Linked DNA regions of Danio rerio. The protein of the gene in region 1 purifies or fractionates together with the protein of each later gene. This does not show direct contact. Links are inferred from orthologs where the notes say so. Each region holds a gene or a part of one and is shown in the gene's direction. Other genes may lie near its edges. The genes, in order: hectd1, kpna2, copa, smc2 and znf622.

Region 1 (4,506 bases):
GACATTTGATTTGCTGCCTTACCCTTTTCAGGACTAATAGAGGACTAAAACTTCTTGTTTTTTAGTTATAGTCATTATCGAGATACATCCAGCACAATTAAACAGTTCTGTGAATATTAACATGATTCTAATTCTGCCATGATTTGCATGTTTAGCCTGTAGAGCAAGCTTTTTCAGTTACCTGCTTATTTTGTTCTTTTTGTAGACTAATCACAGTTTTTGGGTTTTGTTTGCAGCTTCTCCACTTATGGGTGCGCAGAGCTTTCCTAACCTTACAACCACTGGTACCACCTCAACTGTTACAATGTCCACCTCTATAGTAACCAGCAGCAATAATGTAGCCACGGCAACTACAGGTTTGTCCGTCGGCCAGTTGCTCAGTAACACGCTGACGACCAGCCTGACCTCTACATCTAGCGAGAGTGACACAGGTCAGGAGGCTGAATTTTCCCTCTATGGTAGGCCATATTGCATTTATCATTTGCTTACACAAAAACAATCTCTCATCCTGTCTTGTTCTAGTGTGTCTGCTGTTTTTGCAGATGTCTAATCCCTAATGTTTTTGCTAATTAACTAACTTCACAGTGTTTTTCTCTGAATTGAAAGGTTTATTATTAGCAGCATGAAACCTAATTCTTTTCATTGCCTTTCTTTTGCTCAGACTTCCTGGACAGTTGTCGGGCCAACACTTTGCTTGCAGAGTTGGATGATGAAGAAGATTTGCCGGAGCCAGATGATGACGATGATGAAAATGAGGATGACAATCAGGAGGAACAGGAGTATGAGGAAGTTTTGGTACGGTCCAGGGTCAACCTTGGTTACCACGTTCATATTCATAGGGTAAAACCTGTTGTAGTTTCAATAATAGTACAGTGAAGATCCTTAATTTTTGGTTTTCTTGGTGTTCTCCTCTCTGATTACTTGACATTTGGTGTTTTTGTTTTTAGTTTGGTGAACAGTGGTGTATTTCTTGGTTAGGAATGTATTTGGTGTTCCTATCTTTTAAATGATTTATACATTTATTTGGTTTGTATGCTCGTTTACCAGCATGGCTCCTCTGTGTAGCATGTCTTCAGTTAGTTGAAATATGTGTCATATTTTTGAGCAGTTGAACATTAGGTGTAAGAGAGCTTTACTGCTTTGCTTTTAAAGGAGGAAGAGGAGTATGAAACCAAAGGGGGCCGTCGCAGGACCTGGGATGACGACTTTGTGCTGAAACGACAGTTTTCTGCTTTAGTACCTGCATTTGACCCTAGACCAGGCAGGACCAACGTCCAGCAAACTACTGACCTGGAAATCCCCCCACCAGGTACTGTATCTGTCAGCTTACAGGTGTTTTCCTAATCATTTTAAGTCAAGTGGCTACATTATACTAACGTTGCAATGAGAGCACAGTATTACTTTTACAAGCGGAAGGTGCTAAAGTTTACTACGTAGAAATGTCCTGTAAGCACATTATCTGAGCAGACGCTAAAAAGACTGCCTTTTCATAGCTCAGTGCAGTGTTTCCCATGTCTGTTGTGAAAGCCTCTTCACACTGTGCAGTGACTTCGACTAAGTGGGGATGAAAAAAGCCTTTGTTTTTGCTTTTAATGTTTTGGCCATTTTTTTTTCTTTTTTGGCCAAAAACCAAAAATGCTGTTTTTGCCTGATGATAATTGGCAGCTGAAAATTTTGTCCCTCCTTATTAAATACTGTTATTCATTCATTCATGCATTCTTTTTTTTTTTTTTTGGCTTAGTCCCTTTATTAATCTGGGGTTGCCCCAGTGGAATGAACCGTCAATTTATCCAGCAAATGTTTTACGCAACAGTTGCCTTTCCAGCCACAACCCATCTCTGGGGAAAAAATACTGTTATATGTTGTAATATTTTGGGTTGGCACTTTATTTTTGATAGTTTTATCAATTTTATATTCGATTTTTTTTTTTTTTTTTTTAATGGAATATTTTATTAGCATGGCTCCTGTTAGGGCTAACTAACAAATTTGTTTACTGCTGAGTCAATCTCTGCTTTTTGTTTTGAATTTACAATGCGAAAAACATACATCTATTGTGCTTGCAGGAACACCTCGTTCAGAGGTACAGGAGGAGGTGGAGTGCGCTCCTTCACCTCGTCTGGCTCTCATCTTAAAAGTAGCAGGTCTAGGAACTACTCGAGAAGTAGAACTACCTCTCACCAATTACAAGTCCACCATTTTCTATTATGTCCAAAAACTTCTCCAGCTGTCATGCAACGGTGCTATTAAACCTGACAAGCTCAGACGCATCTGGGAGCCTACGTATACGTGAGTCCATTGTTTAACAGTTGTTTTTATATCAACACAGTCATGTTTAGACACCTGCTAACAAACATTGTTATTTTTCAGGATAATGTATAGAGAATTGAAGGATTCCGACAAAGAAAGAGAGAGCGGAAAGATGGTAATAGCACATTTTTTAACATCTCTTCTCCTCTCAATCTCTCTTCCTATCCTCCTTTCATTCGCTCTCTTCAGCTCATTGAAATCTTGGCTGTGATTTTTCTGTGGCTGTCCCCAATGGTAAATGCTCCCTCTCAGTAAACTGTCTGTCAGTGGTCACTAACCTTAAAGCCAGCAGACTGTGAGATGACCCCCAGTGGTATCTATTGTTAAATGCACGGGCCTCTCTAGTGGTTAAATCTACTGTAATGCATGTGTATTGCGTGAGACTTTACAATCAGGAAAGACCAACATTTGGTTCTTCCTGTTGTAGGGTTGCTGGTCTGTAGAGCATGTGGAACAGTACCTTGGCACAGATGAATTACCAAAGAATGACTTGATAACCTACATGCAGAAGAATGCAGACTCAACTTTCCTGCGCCACTGGAAATTAACCGGCTCTAATAAAAGTATTAGGAAAAACAGAAATTGTTCGCAGCTCATAGCTGCATACAAGGTATAGAATGGCATCGGATATGCATATATATATACATACCATTTTTATTTTCCCTTCTGTTTTTCAAGTATATTTTCCTCTTTCTTGCTTGACTGTCACTTGTGTAGCCACCTGTTAGACAGTTGTTGCTGTCCTTTTGTACATTTTATTGCTAAATGGGTGTAAATGTCGTACCATTAAAGTTTTAGCTGTCATTGTGGACTTTATTCTTTATTTGCTTTGATTTGTTTTTGTTGTTATTTTTTTTTAGCATTTCTGTTGTCGTTTTTGTCCATAAACTGTATAATTTAGTTAGATTTGCGTTGCTATAGGTCTGCTGAGATAAGGATTGGCAGTCAAAATTAGGGGTGCATTATTAAATGTGCTTGTATGGTTTTCAGGACTTCTGTGAGCGTGGCTGCAGATCTTCAGGCCTGAGTTCAGGGACGTTGTCCACGACGCAAAGCTGTGATATCTTGAGTGCTGCAAGAGAGCAGGCTCAGGCTAAAGCGGGCTCGGGTCAGAGCGCCTGCAGCGTAGAGGATGTACTGCAGCTCTTGCGCATCCTTTTCACCATCGGAGGAGAACCTACATCTGGACGCACACTACAGGAAGGTAAGCAGCTCGTCCTCGCAGCATCGTGTCAATCCTTTTTGTTTCTTTGTTTTTAAATTTAGTATTTGCCTATAATTCACATTTATTTGTGCAGATGTGGAAGAGCTACAGTTCAATGCATCACCTGAGGAATTCACCAGCAAAAAAATTACAACCAAAATCCTGCAGCAGATTGAAGTAATTTGACATGTTTTAATTATGCATTGGTTATTTGTTGTAGATTCAATACTATTCAAAAGTTAAGAGTCGGTAAAGTGTTATTTTATTTTTTATATTGTTAACACTTTGGTCCATTTTGAAATGACATGGATGTCATTTAGAGCACAAGACAGACAGTAAAAAATATGACCAAATAATTTAAAACAAATTTGATTGCACTGCTCTCTGGAATACCTAAATCTATTTGGTCAGTCATGATTTACTACATTCCAAGGTATGTTATTTTCAGATTACAACAGCTGAAAAAAAAGACTCCTCTGAGTACATTAAGACTACCCTGACTACTAAACTACTTAAAAAAAAAAAAAAAAAAAAAAAATCAGCCCTAATTTTCAGGATTTTATTTTTAAGTGTCAAGCTGATTTTACACTTAAATTAACATTATTCAAGAAGTTCAGTAAGTTACCATTATTTATTCTAAAATGCATTTTTGTATGGTTAAAAAATTTTAAATAACGTTTGTCTTTCAGGAGCCATTGGCTCTGGCTAGTGGGGCTCTCCCCGACTGGTGTGAACAGTTAACCAGCAAGTGTCCTTTCCTCATACCCTTTGAAACCCGGCAGCTTTATTTTACCTGCACTGCATTTGGAGCCTCTAGGTCTGTTCTTATATTTTTAAGTGTGTGTGTGTGTGTGTGTGTGTGTGTGTGTGTGTGTGTGTGTGTGTGTGTGTGTGTGTGTGTGTGTGTGTGTGTGTGTGTGTGTGTGTGTGTGTGTGTGTGTGTGTGTGTGTGTGTGTGTGTGTGTGTGTGTGTGTATGTATATATATATATATAT
Region 2 (5,214 bases), on another chromosome or scaffold:
CCACATATTTTCTCATGTTTATAGTTGAGGATATACTAAATACAATAAACTTTTTTTGTTATATTTTTAAGTGCACTTTTTCCATCTTGGTACAGACTTTGTATGGCAATAACCATGTTCATTCTATGATTTTAGGATTATAATATTCTATAAAGTCTTTTTATTTATGTGACTTTCGTATACTTTGCATCATTTGTTTCAAAGCTAGCTGCAATCCCAGATCTATATATTCATAAACTTTAAATAGTAGTTTTAATGAACTGAATTAAATGGGGTGACATGAAGGCTCAGTGGTTAGCTCTGTCCCCTCACAGCAAGAATGTTGCTGGTTCGAGTCCCAGCTGGGTCAGTTGGCATTTCTGTGTGGAGTTTGCATTTTCTCCCCATGTTCGCGTGGGTTTCCTCTGGGTGCTCCGGTTTCCCCCACAGTCCAAAGCCATGCGCTATAGATCAATAAACTAAATGGGCTATATGAACAGCTAGTGTTTTTCAGCCAATGATGAACTTTCAGTGAAAGCTCTATGTGACTATTTTCAATTTTACAGTTTCTTTTACAGCATTAATGTTGTAATTCAGATATAATCAGTTAAATAGCATCCATTTGATTGTAAAAGTGTAAAAAGAGACGAAAAACCGTTTAAACGCAGGTGCCACCATTAGCAGCAGGCTAGCTCAGAAACTCTATTTAAAATACTGAAGTAAAATTAATTTCCATATTTTAAAGACATGGCATGGAAAAATATAGTTTAATGCAGGGCTTCTTGTTTGGTCTGATACCCACTTTTTGTGTCGTATCTCAGGCAAGCAGTGAAGATCGCTGTTTTTTTAATTTTTTTAAAGAAATTAGAAATTTAACTGGCCAATTTTGTATGGACGACAATCTCTGAGGCTGGCTGAATGAAATTAAACGTATGTGTACATTTACCCCATTGGTCGTAGTATTTGAGTGTGTATGGATTTTTCCTAGTACTGGATTGCAGCTCGAAGGGCATCTGCTGTGTAAAACACATGCAGGATAAATTGGCGGTTCATTCCACTGTGGTGACCCCTGATGAATAAAGGGAATAAGCTGAAGGAAAACGAATAAAAATGTCATTAACAATAGGCAAGCTGTGTTACCATCAACGTAAGCTGTTTTTCAAGCCCAAAGAAAGTGTAGTTTCACTTACAAGTTCTACAGTTACATAATTTAAACCGTGAAATGATACATACCTTCCACCAACTTCTATTGTTTATCATTTGTTAGCGTACAATGGTGTATAAATGTTCTGTCTCCATTCAGTAACGTTAAACACGTGGTGTTGTTGCTTCATATCCGTCAATTCTTCACAGAATTTTAAACATCAGAATGCCAAGCGCCATTGACCAATCAGAATTAAACTTAGAGCTCATTTGCCCCTCCCTTAACAGAAAAACATCAAAAAGAGACAGTATATTTTATTAAAAATGAATAATTAAGCTTATCTTACATTTACACAGTCACTGTAGTATTGTTTAAATGTGGGTATAAAACGAAACAAATATTAAATGTGGGTGGAAATGAATCCACAACCTCTCAACAACAACATATGATAAATATATTTACTGAAAGTAAAATAATCCGGCTTTTAAACGTCAACCCAATAAGTCCAACCAGGTATCAGTAACAAAGGGAGACCCAAAATATTCATGTATATTTCTGAAATGTATATTCTGAAAATGTAATGCATTTGTATCTGTTTGAAGGTCATGTATCTTTTTAAAGCCCAAAATATTCAAGTTCATAATCGGCATTCTCAGCAGATCTCGCGATAATGTGTGACCCACGTCTTCACGCCAGCGGTGTGATTTTTCAAAACGGCCCAATAGGAAGATGCTTTTGCTCGAACAGGCCAATCAGATTGTTCAAACCGCGAGTTTAAAGATCTGTGTCATACTTCCTCCTCCACAGTCCTTTGGTTGAAAGTGGTGAGTTCCTACTTTTGCTCGTATTTAAATAGTATGTTAATACCATTATATAAAGATGTATTTATGAAATGTGAATTGATTGTGATGTATTGTTGTTTTATATGTCACGGATATATTTTATTTTCCAGGCTACGACACACTGTGATCAATCAAACTCCATTAAAATGTCTGCTGCAAATGAGAACACCGCTCGACTCACTCAGTTCAAAAACAAAGGAAAAGATGCCACTGTAAGTGACCACTTTGCATTATAGATAACATGCTATAACAGAATAGCATGAAAACAGCATAAAGAGAGTCGAATGTTATTGTTACTTTTTAAATATATCGTATTTCAGATTAGCTTTCATATAAATGTTAAATACTGTAATCTAGGAGCTGAGACGTCGAAGGATCGAAGTCAACGTCGAGCTTCGTAAAGCAAAGAAAGACGAGCAGATTTTGAAGAGGAGAAACGTGAGCAGTTTTCCGGATGAGGCCACCTCTCCTCTCCAAGAGAAAAGCCAGAACTGTCAGGTATGCAGATCAGCCGACTTGCTGCTCAAGATCAGTAAACTCAAGAAATTTCAAATAAGACACTTTGGTTGTTATTACTCTACTTCCCAAATTAGCTGAGCCCCCAAAATGAATACTCTGTCATTTACTCGTCATTTTTAATTTTAACTCTTTCTAAGTTTTGTTGGACACAAAAGTATATATAGTTATTAAGAAGAATAAAGGAAACCTGTAACCTTTGACTTCCATACTAGGAGATACAAATATGGAAGTCAATGGTTAAAGCTATTCCGCTCCCTGTAAAAAAAATAATAATTTGTGTTCATCAGAATATAGAAACTCATAAAGTTTTGAAACCATTTGAGGGTCAGTAGATAATGAGTGTATTTTCATATTGGGGTGAACTATTCCTTTTAAAGATTTAAGGCAAGGCAGGTTTATATAGCACATTTCATACACCGTGGTAGTCCAAAGTGCCTTACTGTACATAAACAGAAATAAAAGAGACAAGAAAATAAAGACCAATAATAAAAGGGATTAATTTTTAAAAAATGTTTTAAGAGTTAAAACAAAAAGACAATAGTGTGATCTGCCAGATGTAGCACAGTGCTTATTCAGTAAAGGCACAGCTAAACCGATGTGCTTTCAGAATAGTTTTGAATGTACCTAATTCGGAGCTTAAATGTTGCTTTAAATATGCAAATGATTTGATTTAAAAATACACTTTTTGCATGTATCTCTACAGCAAAAATGTAAACACTGGTTCAGGTTCAAAAGTTAGTTTCAACTTTTGTTTTTCTGACGCATTAATTCAGAAAATACACCAAAACCGCTAGATATTTTTAATACTTGTAATTTTATTTTTTGAGTAAATATGTATATGTCAAATTTTGTATAAGTGCTTCTCACTGTAAAAAAAATAAAATAAAATAAACTTTAAAATTAGTAAAGTATTTTACAAAAGTACATGAGGCACAAGAAGATAGTTGATGCATATGCACAAGTTTGGCATATGCAAGTGCTGCTGGAATGGATATCCATGGCTTTGTCCTGGATGGGGGAAAATACTTTAGAAATGTATTGCAATTTTAAATCTACAGACATGTGTTGATAACGTGCTAAAATAAACCCTAAAGTGTTTTGGATTTCCTTCTGATACCCTAAAAAATGTAATATGAAAGGCCAAAGGACCAAACTTGCAATATTGAGATGTGCGTTTTTTTTTTTTTTTTCGTTTTTTTTTTTTTTGCCTGTAAGGTCTTGCCTTCAATGTTACACCTCATAAAATCTCCATTCTGTTCATACAGGCACAGCACTGGACAGTGGAGGAGATTGTAAATGGTGTGAATAGTAATAACTTGGAGACTCAAGTCCAGGCCACACAAGCTGCCAGGTAATTCCCAGTAGATTGCTTATACATGTGCAGATAGCTCTATTCATCTCAACTTGTATTTAAGCTTCATTTCTTACACTGACATGCAGGAAGTTGCTGTCAAGAGAGAGACATCCACCTATTGACCGCATAATCAGTGCTGGTCTGATTCCTAAGTTCGTGGGCTTCCTGAGCCTGGTAGACTCTCCTCCTATACAGTTTGAGGCGGCCTGGGCTCTGACCAACATTGCATCTGGAACATCTGACCAGACCAGCGCCGTGGTCCAGGGAGGGGCAATCCCAGCATTCATCAGCCTCATCTCGTCACCACATGCTCATATTAGCGAGCAGGCAGTTTGGGCTCTTGGAAACATCGCTGGTGGGTGCTAAGTAGAATATTTCAGTTAGATCCCTTAATTTTCTTTTTAATGTGGGTGTACAAATTGATTTGTTCTTTTTGTGTTTGTGTGTGTGTAGGTGATGGTTCTGGGTATAGGGATAGAGTCATTAAGCATGGTGCAATCCCCCCCCTCTTGGCTCTGCTGGCTGTTCCTGATTTGTCTGTGTTTCCTGTAAGTTATTTATATAGATGGATTTAAATTGGTTTTAAAGTTATTCTCAGATGGGTGTCCATTGTAATTTGGTAAAAATAATTTTGAGAAATGTATTTATTGCAATATTACAATCTAAGTTGGTTAAAATATTGTTGTTGTTGTTATTATTATTATTATTATTATTATTATTATTATTATACCAAATAATGTGAAGCTGATTTAGACCAATTTACAGATTGAATATCGCAAAAATTTGTCTTTTTATGACTTTTTAAGAAGTTTTAAAAATAACTATTCCTCAGATAATTAAGTATCAAAAACATTTGATAATTAGTGAGGACAACATTTGTAATTAAATAGTGAAAGGCAAATTCCGAATGTTTCAGAATTTGCGCATGAAAATGTAAGAAAACCCCAGACAAATTCATTATATTTTCATGCACAAATTCTGAAACATTTGGAATTTGCCTTTCACTATTTAATTACAATTCTTGTCCTCCGTAATTATCAAATGTTTTTGACCTGATTCTCAAGCAAATAATAAAAATTATCGGTTTAATTAGTTTTGTTCTTGTTTATTTACACTCTAAGCTTAATAGATATTATTATTATTATATTAAATTTATTATAAAGGTATACACTTAAGATTTACTTTAAACCTTGGGCTCTTTTCACAATCCATGCGCAGGGTGCAAACGCATTAGGGCATGTCAGAATCCACTTTTTCTTAAATAATGAGGGAAAAAATCCGCTTTGCGCCATGGCGCATGGTCTGAAAGGGTTCAGCTTATTTTATTAATGAGTTATAGATGTGTTTTGAGAATAAACCAATCAGAGTCTCATCTC
Region 3 (4,506 bases), on another chromosome or scaffold:
GCTAAAAACACTATTAGGACACCTATATTTCACAAAAAATTGTAAATTGGTTGTTTTTGCGTTATTTCAAGCAAATTCGTACTTCCGGTTTGAAATGAATTTTTGAAGCTGCGTCACGGTCATGACATAATAGCGTTGTATTCCAGCGTGCAGACTGGGCGTCTGTGCCAGAGTGAGTCTTATTACGTCTTACAGTGTGATGCATTAATGCATGAGTAAGGCTTGGGTCAAACCAATCAGCGCGCTCTATTGTGCAACTTCATTAATATTCATTAGGGTCACCGTGTTACACCACAGAGACGCCACGTTGGGTTGGCAAAACAAGCGTGAAGTGTTGCTTTTATAGTTTGCTGCCATTAAGTTTCGTTTTCATTTTCTCTCTGTGAGAGCTCATCTGGATCACGTGTGGATTAACAGTGTACGCGACGCTCAACAACAATAACTTGCGTGTCTAAGGAGGATTATTGTTTACCTGAGAGCTGTTCTCATCTGCAAACGCTGAAATCCGGATTCGCTTGTAGTCTTCTCTTCATAAAGACGCGGCTCTAGTTGCTGGTGATTGTCCTGTCTCTACAGATTTGGTAAGTGAGCTACCAGTGCTCTTTGTTTATTCAGTTTGTTCGTATCGAATTAAGTTAACTATTGCACTAAACATGTTAGCACCGCATTTTGTGACCGGAATAACACACGCGGCTTTCTGACGCTACCTGCCGTGTGCATCTAAGTTTCCGGGAAATGCTGAGTTATTTTTTTTCTCTCATTCGCCGTGCGGTATCAAACATTGCATGAAAAATACACACTTAGATCAGTTCTCTCGAATCAAATATCTCGTTTGTCGTGAGGGGCATGAATGAATTCCCTGAATGAAAGAGCCAAACTGCAGTTAAAGTCGAACATTTAATAATTTGGCAAATAATTCGACTACATATGTCCATGTAGGTTAAACACCATCACTTTCTCCTGTGTGTATTTTGACTGAAACTCGCGCGTGCCCAAATAGACACTCCCACACCCTCCCACTTTAGTTCCTCCGACACTCCCCTCTAAACAGAGCTGGACACGCCCACTTTTCTGACTTTTTCCAAAGTAGAGGTGTGAAAACACCCTGCTGAAACGAGGGGTTTTCATGGCCCTTTAAAACTGGGTAATCCAATGAATAGAAGTTAACATAAAAACAAGAACAGAATACAGTATCAAATATCAGTTATACAAAGCAAGGCAATCATTCTGGATCTTGATCATTTCTTTGTGCAATAAACAAGGAGATTTTGTCAGCAGCTAAAGTCCAGATCTTTAATGTACTCATTTGCACCAAGTTCACTCACGCTGTGGATAACTCCAACATTATAATGTCTTAAAGTTGTACCAACCACTTGTACAATGTCAAATTATGTGTACGCAGCCAATGTTGCTTTCTTTAATTCTTATTGTTTGGATATTTTTCTCCCACTCACTTAATAATGAATAATTAATCAATAATAAATCATTACTACAATAATGGGCCATGAACAAATACATATTAGGCCTTTGCGTCACCACGCTGTCCACAATTACTCCAGAGTTTTGTGTAATTTCGTGTTATTCTTAATTTATCAACTTTAACTGCAGTTTGGCACTTTCATTTTCGTTTGGGAACATGCATGCCCCCCGTGACAAACGGATGCGAGGAACTGCTGGTGTTGTTTTAATGGAATTTTTGATACTGCACACTGGATGGGAGAAAAAACCTCTGTGTTTCTCGGTAACTTAAATGCACTCGGTAGGTGCAGAGAATAGCATCAAACAGCCATGTGTGTATAGACTACCCTACCATGAAATGCGGCGAAAATCCTACACAACGGTAACAGTTTGATTGCGGTGTTTACATGTTTACATGCGAAAAGCAGCATTTACTGCAGATCTTTCAGTCCATAATATTGTAGTGATATTAGCGTACTGTAAACTTAGTAACTAAATTATTTTGACTAAGGTACGTCTTTAAAAATCGAAAGAGTACTGCTGATGATACTAACTTACTTTGTCATCTCAATAAACGTATATGAAGAACACTGATCGCACACTTCCCAAATCTGTACAGACAGAACAATCAACACCAACTGTACTGGAACTGCATCCTCTTTTTAAAAGAAGACGAGTGGCAAATCCGGATTTTTCTATTTCCAGATGCGAAAAGCTCTCGGGTAAAACCTTACAAACACATTTGTGTTGCGTGTTAACAAACCAATGTATTCCCCAGGTCAGTTCAGCTTAGCTCCCATAGCAGGGAAATGGAAACAAAACCTTTGTTGCAGCACCTTTATAAATGCAACACTGACAACCCATGTCTCTAAACAATTCTTTTTCCACTTGTTTTAATTACAGTTGGCAACACAGCATCGCGTCTCTTTGCTGTCTAAACACTTCAACAATATAGTTATTTTTTGTTAGGGTTAACGCAGTGAATGCAGTGCATCGAGATTCCGGCCATTAAAACAGCTGATCGTCACCGAGTGTTTCAGCACTCTCTCAGAAAACACTTGATTGGTCTCGGCTTGCGAATCAACATTCATAGCATGATCATTTTCATCAGCAATATTACTTGTAACTTTGGGTGGGTTTGCAAATCTGTGTATGTTTCATCGCTTGTTTCTTAAACTTCAGCCATTTGCATTACCCTCGGTCACAGAAGCTCCCTGTCATCTGACAGCGTAAAGCCTTGAGTGATTGACAGCTAATATGAACCAATATAGTGTTAGGGAAGACCGATTCAGCACGTTTTTAGAAAAGAAAAAATCAACAGGTCACACTACAACCATTATATGCAGTCGCACAAATGCTTCCAAATATATTATAAGGTCGCATAGATTAAATTTCGGGCGCATATGCGACCACAATGGTCGCAATTTCGAGCCGTTCATGTCATTGTGTAAGTAAGGTATTACATGCAGCTATTAAAAAGTTGTGATCTGGCACTTTAAAAAAATAAAATTAACTTGACTTCAAGGGGGCTGGGAAAGCCGTTGGTAGGGCGGGTCGCCCCCCTGATATAAAGATAGGGGAAACCCTGAAGTATACTAGATAAACAAGTACATTTTCTACAATTAAACTTATGTATGATGTATGCATGATAGGCCTGTTTAATTACATTATTTAAAAACGTATTAAAATTATTTGGTTTTTGTTCGTCGATGCAGAATTGCTCAATTTGAATTATAAAAGTATTATATTCTACAGCTCTGTCTAAAGTTTTAAATATCTTTGTTTTCCTTAAAACAGGCTATCCTGTCAGACATTGCGTATCAAACAAATTCACCCTATTAGTAGAATTAATTCTATTGTTTATTATCCCCTCCTCTAGAGTCTAAAGCATGGGAGTTGGACACCTGTCGAGGACACTACAACAATGTGTCCTGTGCGGTGTTTCACCCCCGTCAGGAGCTCATCCTGTCCAACTCTGAGGACAAGAGCATCCGTGTGTGGGATATGTCCAAGAGAACAGGCGTCCAGACCTTTCGCAGAGATCACGACCGCTTCTGGGTTCTGGGTGCTCACCCCAACCTCAACCTGTTTGCTGCTGGTAGATTACTAATCATGTTGATCGGGTGTTTTTTGGGGCGATTAAATGTTCCACATTTGACTGCTTTTATGTAACTTCGTAGGCCATGACAGTGGAATGCTGGTGTTTAAACTGGAAAGGGAACGTCCAGCTTATGCAGTGTATGGCAACATGCTTTACTATGTAAAGGATCGTTTCCTGCGTCAGCTCGACTTTAACAGCAGTAAAGATACAGCTGTGATGCAGCTACGCAGGTATGTGCAGTTTTGTCCCTTTTTTGATTGTGCTTTGAGTTTATAGACCCTGAAAGTATCTAAAATTGATAGTGTGCACTTGAATTCTTCAGTTGAACTGTTTCTTTTATCTTCACAGTGGATCCAAATTCCCAGTGTTCAGCATGTCCTACAACCCAGCGGAAAATGCTGTGCTGTTGTGCACTGTGAGTACCCTGCTCAAGTATATTCATAAATAAGGATGATTCACCCAAAAAATGAAAATTCTGTCATAATTCACTCACCCATTTCTTGTTTCAATCATGTTTTACTTTTTTCTGCTGAACACAAAATGATATATTTTGAAGAAGCTGAAAAACTATAATCATTGGCTTCCATAATATTGTTTTTTTTCTACTATGGAAGTGACAATGGTTCCAGGTTTTTCTCTTTGTGTTTAGCAGAAGAAAGAAACTCCTAAATGATTTGAAATACTAGATGGCAAGTATATGATTAGTACATTTTCATTTTGGACCCCTAAAATCAAGATAAATTTTTTTTTCTCCTTGTTCTCTAGAGAGCTACTAATTTGGAAAACAGCACCTATGATCTGTACTCCATTCCCAGAGAGAGTGACTCCCAGAATCCTGATGGTAACATTTGGACCTTTCTCTTTAGAACTTATTGTTTTATGTGCAAAATGTGGAGTTTCATTATTTCTGTATGTTTCCAGCTCCTGAGGGAAAACGCTCCTCTGGT
Region 4 (4,506 bases), on another chromosome or scaffold:
GTTCTGATTAAACTCATCCAAGGTCCAAATCTGGACCGCAGTCTGCGGTGGGGTGACCTCGAATTTAAATAGTTTGGGTTTCTTTTACTTGAACAGGTTTGGTAATCGAGTACTTTTGTGGAGACTGGAGGTCTGTAATATGGGATGGGATGGTGGGTAATGGACTGGCAAAAGTATTAAAATCATTGTACGGGAAAAGATTTGTGAATTTTTAATGATGCAAATTGATACCTGTTAGAAAAGTGTGCGGTTGATTGATTGAATATTTCTGTCTCCTGTTGTACTCCATTAGCTCGTCTCATTTCTGTGTCTGTCTCTCTTTCTCTCCAGGAGGTTGGGGGGGTATTGAGGACGCTGGAAGAGACCTTGTCTGAAGCACAGAGAGTGGACACCAAGGCCCAAAGTGCCCTGGATCTGAAGAAGCAAAACCTGAAAGATGAGACCAAGAAGAGGAAAGAGCTGGTCAAAAACATGGAGGAGGTATGAGATGATGCTGTCCTTTATTCAAATTAGGCTTTTGTATTTGCTTTTTGGTTTTCCACTCTTTGACTTAAAGGTAGTTCACCCAAAAATGGAAATTTACTCAAGTGGTTCCAAATATTTGAGTTTTATTTAATCTGTTGAACCCAAAAGAGATATATTGAAGATGCATACAATTCTTGTTTGTCGTCTCGCGCATTGTGTCTGTTTGTGTCTGTAGATTTCAGTTGCAATATATATTTTTACTACTTCACTCTCTTAGACATAAATCTCCTTCATCTCCTAATAGCACTTACACCAAATGTTTTATTCATATCTGTATTCTGTGGGTTGTTCTATAGGTTTGTACATTTTATTCTACTTTATTTTTCTGGCAGTTTATGGTACTTGTTGAATTATGCAGTGAGTAAAAATAGATGCTCAAAGCACCCTCTTTAAAAGCCTTTGATTTGTAATATGTCAAAAGAAAATGACACCAAATTTTTAACTTGATGTTGAACAAGAAATGTATGCAAATTAGAACTTATAATGAAATAATAACTTAATAATTACCAAATATTTACAATTTTTAATGTATTAAGTCAACTAGGGAACTCTTAATTTATATTTACCCTATTTATCTAATGTCTTGCCTTTTGAGTGTTGGATGTTTAAAATACTTTAATTGATATTTAAAAATGTAAAGAAATTTAAGCCCCTTATATAAAGTATTAAGTCTTAAATGCTATTTTGCAAGGTATTACATTTTATATCATTTTTGTTTATGCAATGTATAGTTGTATGCTATAGTTTGCCTGAATTAAATCAGCGAATATCAGGATGCTGTGTAGTTTATGAAATCAATAAAATCTTGTTAGATTTAACATTATGGTGCTTTGTTTACTGCAGTAATCAAGCCAGCAACATTATTTCTGCAGTTCTATATTCGCCAACCTGCTGAATTAGTTAGATTTAATAGATTTTTATTCAGTATATCAATAATGGTTTAGTTTTGGATTAATTTCTTACATTAATATTTAGTAAATATGCTGCAAGTTAAAATCTTACCAGTGTTTACGATTGAAAAGTGGTATTAAGGTCTTAAAGTGTGCAAAGAGTCTTAAAAAGGTCTTAAAAGGTATTGAATTTCACTCTTTGATTCCTGTATATACTATGAAATGGATTCAACATGGAAATTAAAATTTAATAAATATATTTTTAAAAACTATTTTAATAAATTGTTTAAAATTGGTGTGTTGATTTAAGGAAGTGTCAATTTAAACGTGTACTTTGTTTGCACTAGGATAAGAAGGTGATGTCCGCTAAGGAGGCCGAGGTCGCTAAAGCAGTAGAGCGTCTGAAGGCAGTGAAGGAAGAGGGCCAGAAGGACGCAGAAGCGCTGGAAGCAGCACAGCAGCATTTCAAGGCAGTGTCAGCTGGTCTCTCTGCCAATGAGGATGGAGCTGAAGCCACACTTAGTGGCCAGATGATGACCTGCAAGAATGACATCAGTAAAGCTGAGACGGAGGCCAAACAGGTGACCTTTAGAGACCGTCAACACTGGCTGCATTCCACTGCACTTTTACTAACACATTCACTAACTTCCCTTCCCTTGTTCCCTATGGGCATCCCTCACTGCCATTTTAAAGTGCGTTTCACTTCATCAAGTGAATGAGGGTAGATTACATGGACATACTCTTAAATTCATTCGTCCACCCCAGCACCTATATGTCCCAGAATGCAATGCAGCTGCAACTGCTCAAGGATTTGGGGTGTTTCATTTAAACTCATTTAGATGTTTCACCAGTAGTGGGCACTTCTGTCAAGTAATCAATGACATATATTCGAGGAAACAAGACAGTGAATTTAGCGGGTAAAAAGGCATAAAAAACTGGAGTAAAATGCAGCCAGTGTTCACATTGATCAAATATTTTTGTCCACAGTATATACCTCAATAACTGTTCACTGAGCATACTATTACTATTGTAATATAAGTATTGTTTACTGTCTGTGTTACTAAAATCAATAATGTCTCTAGACTACCCTCAACTTTATGAATATTGTGAGTCTACTGTTTAACCGTTTGGGCAATGATGAGGTTTTATTTATTTATTTTGACAAGTTTTTTTTTTTTTTTTGCAATTTAAAATAATTGTCTAAACTGTACATTTTATTTTAAGAGAGCATCCTTTTATTTTTGTTATGGCAGAGCTGAATTTTGCTAAATTCAAGAAAGCATCTTTTAATATTCAGATTTGATGCTCAAAAAATATTTATTTTGAGTGGTATTTACTAAAAGTAAACCCATTAGGACGAAGTTAAGTATTTTTATTTTTTTTTGCCAGACATTGTTTTACAATAAAAGTTAAAAAGACATAAAGTAAAAAAATCATTTAACTTTTGTTTCTTTATTATATTAGCATTTTCGTAATTGTTTTGCCTTAAAAATTGCCTGAGATGCTCACATGGCTTTAAATAAAAAAATACAATATAATAAAACGTTTAGTGTTAAATGGTGTTTAAATGGTTACAACAATTTACCTCAATTTGATGAATAGAAAGCTCAAAAGAACAGGATCTATTGGAAACATTGCATTGATTTATTTTTTTGTAATAGTAATACATAGGGATAGGTGATTAATCGAAAAGTAATTGAAATCGACATTCAGAACCAATAACCAATCTTATTTTTCCAGGTCAAATTGTTTTTAATTACTCGCCTTACTGCATGTGGAGTCATATGACCCTGCTCTGTTTGTTATTATTGGGTTTCTTTTGCTACATTAATGATTGACGAAGCTGCGCCAGAGATTCATTGTTGAGACGCCATACTTTCCATTACATTAAAATAATTTTTTTAATTAAAACATTTGTTAATAGAAGATGCAAGAAATACACTGTTTTAAATATTATTTACAGGATATGCAAGAGTTACTTTATTTAGAAGGTTTAATTTTCTACTTTTAATATGAAAACATTCAAAATATTTTATTTTGTTTCCAAAAATGCAAGTTATTTATTTTCACTTTTTTTTATATAAGACAAAGATGACTGTTTTAGGCAATGTGTGCTATAATTTCAGTCATTCAGCATTGACGTTCAATAAATAATCATAGATAGTAAATAGTGTTTTTTCTTCAATTATTTTAAAATCAAGTAATGCACCCTTCATTCAGAAATCTCACTTGTAATATGTGAGCATATTTACTGTTAAAAACCTGTCAGTGATCTCTGAGATAATAATAATATAATTGTTCATTAATCGTAATCGAGTTAAAATGTTCAATTAATTGATATTTAATTTTTAGGCTAAATCACCCAGCCCTAGTAATACGCAGTTACGTTTCTTTAATGTGTTTTCTGTCAGCATAACAGTGTCTTATGCTGTATGTGTTTTGCATTAAAGAATGATGTTAAACTGTTTAAATGTTCTGTCTCTTAGGCTCAGATGAAGCTGAAACACGCTCAGCAGGAGCTGAAGACTAAGCAGGCTCAGGTTAAGAAGATGGACAGTGGCTACAAAAAAGATCAGGACACATTTGAGGCTGTGAACAAATGCATAGAAAAGCTACAGGCTGAAATGAAGAAACTCAACTATGAAGGTACATATTGAATGTGATTATACTAGGCATAGGTCAGTATACGTTTCTGAAGATGTGATAACCTTGAATAGCAGTAATTACAATACTGTGATATTTCTCTGAAATATGTTCTCTTTAAATGTCTAGTATACATGTCAGGCTAAATAATTAAAATAAATCATTGACTTCTGCTCTCTTCATTAGTTTCAAAAACAGATTTTTTATAACAAATTAAAAAAAATCTTCTTTCAACATCAAATACTGTAGAAATGGTATAACTGCGGTAAACCTTGAAACTGGTTATAGTCTTATGCCTAGATTATACATGAATTTATTTATGCAGTCTAAACTACTGACTCGATGTGTTTTTCTTTTTCTTTTTTCTTTTTTTTCAGATGGACGAGAGGAGTGTCTGTTGGAGCAGAAGAGGCAGTTTTCACGGGAAGTCATTCAGCTCAGAGAAGCT
Region 5 (3,811 bases), on another chromosome or scaffold:
ACTTAAAAAAAGCAGGTTTAAATATTTTGAAACCTATTTTAAGGTCAATATTATTAGCCCCCTTAAGCAATATATTTTTTGATTGTCTACAAAAGATGCCACTGTTTTACAATGACTTGCCTAATTAAGTCTTTAAATTGCACTTTAAGCTGAATGCTTAATAATGAAATATTACTTACTGTCATCATTGCAAAGATAAAAGAAATCAGTTATTATAAATGAGTTATTAAATCTATTATATTTAGAAATGGGTTAAAAAAACTACCTTTCCGTTAAACAGAGATTGGGGGAAAATGTATATATACAGTTATTTTCCTCCCTGTAAATAAGGAATTAAATACAATACACTAAAAACATGAAACAAACTGCTTTAAGCATCTTTACTGTAAGAAAATCTTTAGCTCAAAGTCCTTCAGTCAAGAGAAGTGAGGGATTTTGTCCTTTTGTTGTTTGAGTAATAATGATAAAAACGGTCGTTAGCAGGAATTTTGCGCGCTGTCACTTTAAGAGCAGTACACTTCTGATTTATGGTTTCACTTTCACATGTCTTTTGATTCTCATCTCGTTTGTTTATTACATAAATGAGGGTTAATATGAATAATCACTGAACACCGTGTTTTGACACAATTTGCATTTATTTGACCATTAAAGCGCTCGCATTAAGATGACTTTAGATGTGTGTGAATAAAAAATCGGACACATAGCTTAGGAAAGGTATAGCAGAAAATTTTGATGGTTTTAAAACCTTGACTTTTTCAAATCGCCATATACCTTGAAAACGGTTATCGTCCCATGCCTATATATAATAGGACATATACATTTTTACATTAGATTACCGAATCTTAAGAACCTTTGGGATAGAAGTGTTTTGTTGTGTGAAAGTGTTTCACTTGCTTTGTTATGGTGTTGTATAATCAATGGCATATAATAATCTCACTTTGATTGCTTATCCTTGCAATAATTTCTGTGCCAATATATCACACAACTAAAAAAAATCTTTATCGTGGTAGGCCTGGTGATTACAATAAAATACAAAGTGCTACTGTTGTTGTTTTTTGGTCTCATTGGTTTGGTTTAAAACTAAAGAAAACAGATATTTTGTATTATTGTCATTTAAAGGGATAGTTTACCCTAAACTTGTACTTTCAGTCACTGTTTCAAACCTGTTTGAGTTGAACACACATAAAAAATTAATTTTGAGGAATGTTGGAACAAGGTAGCCAACTGACTAATGTAGTATTTTCTACTGTGGATGTCAGTAACTACTGCTTTCTAAAATTCTTTAAAGAATTTTTTTTCTGTGTTTAATGGAAAAAATTAAACTCATAAGCTGCGTCTTAAATGGCACACTATGCTCTTACTCACTCAACAGCATTGTATATGTATGTAGTGTTGTCCCAAATTGAACTCTAATGGTTATTTTACTAAGTTCAAACCATTTCCCTAATGATGTTTGACGGGTGAATCAACATTAAAATTAATTGTGCAAAACAAAATTCAAAAATTAAATTAAAACCTTAGCTAATTTTATAGTTAAATATTTAGAAACTATTTTAAAATATTCTGTGGTATATAAAGCAGTATATTAAGAAATGTGCCTACTGCTAAGAATCTTTTTCTTTGAGGAAAACTTTGATCTGAACTGAAATGAAGCATTTTATTAAACTGAACTAATTATTCAACATTAAACTGAACTGAATAATGATGCTACTGTTTTTTAGAGCAGTTCTATAGTTTATTAAATTTGATTCATAACTGTCAAATCTGTTATTGAGAACCATTTTTTTTCTTCTCAGATTGGGAAGATGTTGATGAGGATGAAGAAATGGATGATGACGATGAAGAGGAAGAGGAGATGGAGCAGGACTCTACATCTGGGGCAGCTCTTGCCCCCGGTTCAATCCCAGTGACAGACTGTCTGTTCTGCGGACATCATTCACACTCACTCAGTCGAAACGTAACACACATGACCAAAACACACAGCTTCTTCATCCCAGACATTGAGTATCTGGTGGACCTGAGAGGACTGATGTCATACCTGGGTAAGTGAGAACTGAGTTTATCTTTGTTAGAATTTGTTTTTTAATAAATGTTTCTGTCATTAATCTGTGTTTTTTTCTGTAGGAGAGAAAGTTGGCGTTGGGAAGGTGTGCTTATGGTGCAATGAAAAAGGGAAGTCATTCTACTCTACAGAAGCGGTTCAGGCACACATGACCGACAAGAGTCACTGCAAACTCTTCACAGATGGAGACGCTGCACTTGAGTTTGCCGATTTCTATGATTTCAGGTACACAAACAATTGTTAACATTTTTTTAAACATATTTTGTTTTGGGACTGTTGTTGAGTATTACATAATTTCTGATAAAAAAAACTGCACATCAAAATAAGTATGGTAACTATAAAGTTATATTTTTTAATGTTTATTCAATCGCAAAGAAGACATTGCAGTAAGGAAGGCATTTACTTCAATAATAATTTTTGCTTACCATTAATTGTATGTATTTTAAATGCCTTTTTATTATTTCAAAATAAAGTAAATTAAGCTTAGAAACTGATTTTAACAAGCTTTTATTAACAAATATATATAAATTGGCATTAATAAATATTAAGAAATGCTGTAAAAAAATAGTGTATAGTATTTATTAATTACTCATAGTTTGTGTGGAAATGGAAATTTACCCAGTCTAATTTCTAATTGCAAATGATTTATCTATTTGCGGGTTTATTTAATTTTTTTACTATTATTAAAATATCATAACTTCTGATTTTAAAAAAACTAACATTAGAATAGAACCAACAACCAGTGGATCATTTATTTAATGTATCCAGAAAGTATTCATAGCGCTTCACTTTTTCCACAAATTGTTATGTTCCAGCCTTATTCCAAAATGGATTCAATAATTTATTTCCTCCACATTCAACAGACAAGACCCCATGATGACAATTTTAAAAAGTTTTTTTTTTTTTAAATGGTTGCAAACTTATTAAAAATAAAAAACCTGAAAAACCACGTTGTAGAGAAGTATTCACAGCCTTTGCCGTGAAGCTCTAAATTGAGCTCAGGTACATTCTGTTTCCACTGATGGTTTTGAAATGTTTCAGCAGCTTAATTGAAGTTCACCTGTGATAAATTTAGTTGACTGGGAATGATTTGAAAAATTCATACACCCGTATGAACCTTACAGAAGGACAACCATCTGTGCAGAAATCTACCAATCAGGCCTGTATGGTAGAGTGGCCAGACGCAAGCCACTCCCCGCCTGGAATTTGCCAAAAGACATCTGAAGGACTCTCAGACCATAAGAAACAAAATTCTCTGGTCTGATGAGACTAAAATTTAACTCTTCGGAGTGAATGCCAGGCGTTACGTTTGTAGAAAACTAGGCTTCGCTCATCACCAGGCTAATACCATCCCTATAGTGAAGCATGGTGGTGGCAGCATCATGCTGTGGGGATGTTGTTAAGCAGCAGGAACTGGAAGACTAGTCAGGATGGAATATCAATGTATACATGATACATACATACCACCAAAATATCAATGGAGTGGCTTTACAACAACTCGGTGAATGTCCTTGTGTGGCCCAGCCAGAGCCCAGACCTAAATCCTATTGAACATCTCTGGAGAGATCTGAAAAGGGCTGTACACTGTCGCTTTCCGTCCAACCTGATAGAGCTTGAGAGGTACAGCAAAGAGGAATGAGCAAAAATTCCCAAAGACAGGTGTGCCAAGCTTGTGGCATCATATTCAAAAAGACTTGAGGCTGTAATCGCTGCAAAAGGTGCATCAACAAAGTATTGAGCAAAGGCTGT

What was found.
Region 2: the proteins of hectd1 (region 1) and kpna2 purify together in Homo sapiens (affinity purification with mass spectrometry; 3 studies listed by BioGRID, with this or other methods). This does not show direct contact. The link is inferred for Danio rerio from reciprocal best matches to the Homo sapiens genes HECTD1 and KPNA2.
Region 3: the proteins of hectd1 (region 1) and copa purify together in Homo sapiens (affinity purification with mass spectrometry, with the first as the bait; 3 studies listed by BioGRID). This does not show direct contact. The link is inferred for Danio rerio from reciprocal best matches to the Homo sapiens genes HECTD1 and COPA.
Region 4: the proteins of hectd1 (region 1) and smc2 purify together in Homo sapiens (affinity purification with mass spectrometry; 3 studies listed by BioGRID, with this or other methods). This does not show direct contact. The link is inferred for Danio rerio from reciprocal best matches to the Homo sapiens genes HECTD1 and SMC2.
Region 5: the proteins of hectd1 (region 1) and znf622 purify together in Homo sapiens (affinity purification with mass spectrometry; 4 studies listed by BioGRID, with this or other methods). This does not show direct contact. The link is inferred for Danio rerio from reciprocal best matches to the Homo sapiens genes HECTD1 and ZNF622.

Annotation. Positions count from the first base shown.
Region 1 is NC_133192.1:30,170,266-30,174,771, forward strand, and holds part of hectd1 (E3 ubiquitin-protein ligase HECTD1), read left to right. Parts: intron 1-236; coding exon 237-458; intron 459-661; coding exon 662-840; intron 841-1,152; coding exon 1,153-1,309; intron 1,310-2,063; coding exon 2,064-2,286; intron 2,287-2,367; coding exon 2,368-2,422; intron 2,423-2,734; coding exon 2,735-2,917; intron 2,918-3,297; coding exon 3,298-3,511; intron 3,512-3,605; coding exon 3,606-3,688; intron 3,689-4,200; coding exon 4,201-4,328; intron 4,329-4,506. UniProt on the Homo sapiens protein: E3 ubiquitin-protein ligase which accepts ubiquitin from an E2 ubiquitin-conjugating enzyme in the form of a thioester and then directly transfers the ubiquitin to targeted substrates.
Region 2 is NC_133178.1:24,117,665-24,122,878, reverse strand, and holds the start of kpna2 (importin subunit alpha-1), read left to right. Parts: upstream 1-1,926; 5' UTR 1,927-1,978; intron 1,979-2,075; 5' UTR 2,076-2,111; coding exon 2,112-2,177; intron 2,178-2,322; coding exon 2,323-2,463; intron 2,464-3,749; coding exon 3,750-3,835; intron 3,836-3,924; coding exon 3,925-4,193; intron 4,194-4,291; coding exon 4,292-4,386; intron 4,387-5,214.
Region 3 is NC_133177.1:40,165,682-40,170,187, forward strand, and holds part of copa (coatomer subunit alpha), read left to right. Parts: intron 1-3,337; coding exon 3,338-3,556; intron 3,557-3,638; coding exon 3,639-3,789; intron 3,790-3,907; coding exon 3,908-3,974; intron 3,975-4,324; coding exon 4,325-4,400; intron 4,401-4,480; coding exon 4,481-4,506. UniProt on the Homo sapiens protein: The coatomer is a cytosolic protein complex that binds to dilysine motifs and reversibly associates with Golgi non-clathrin-coated vesicles, which further mediate biosynthetic protein transport from the ER, via the Golgi up to the trans Golgi network.
Region 4 is NC_133176.1:21,047,277-21,051,782, forward strand, and holds part of smc2 (structural maintenance of chromosomes protein 2), read left to right. Parts: intron 1-330; coding exon 331-480; intron 481-1,762; coding exon 1,763-1,996; intron 1,997-3,901; coding exon 3,902-4,061; intron 4,062-4,435; coding exon 4,436-4,506. UniProt on the Homo sapiens protein: Central component of the condensin complex, a complex required for conversion of interphase chromatin into mitotic-like condense chromosomes.
Region 5 is NC_133177.1:44,618,093-44,621,903, reverse strand, and holds part of znf622 (cytoplasmic 60S subunit biogenesis factor ZNF622), read left to right. Parts: intron 1-1,796; coding exon 1,797-2,042; intron 2,043-2,124; coding exon 2,125-2,287; intron 2,288-3,811. UniProt on the Homo sapiens protein: Pre-60S-associated cytoplasmic factor involved in the cytoplasmic maturation of the 60S subunit.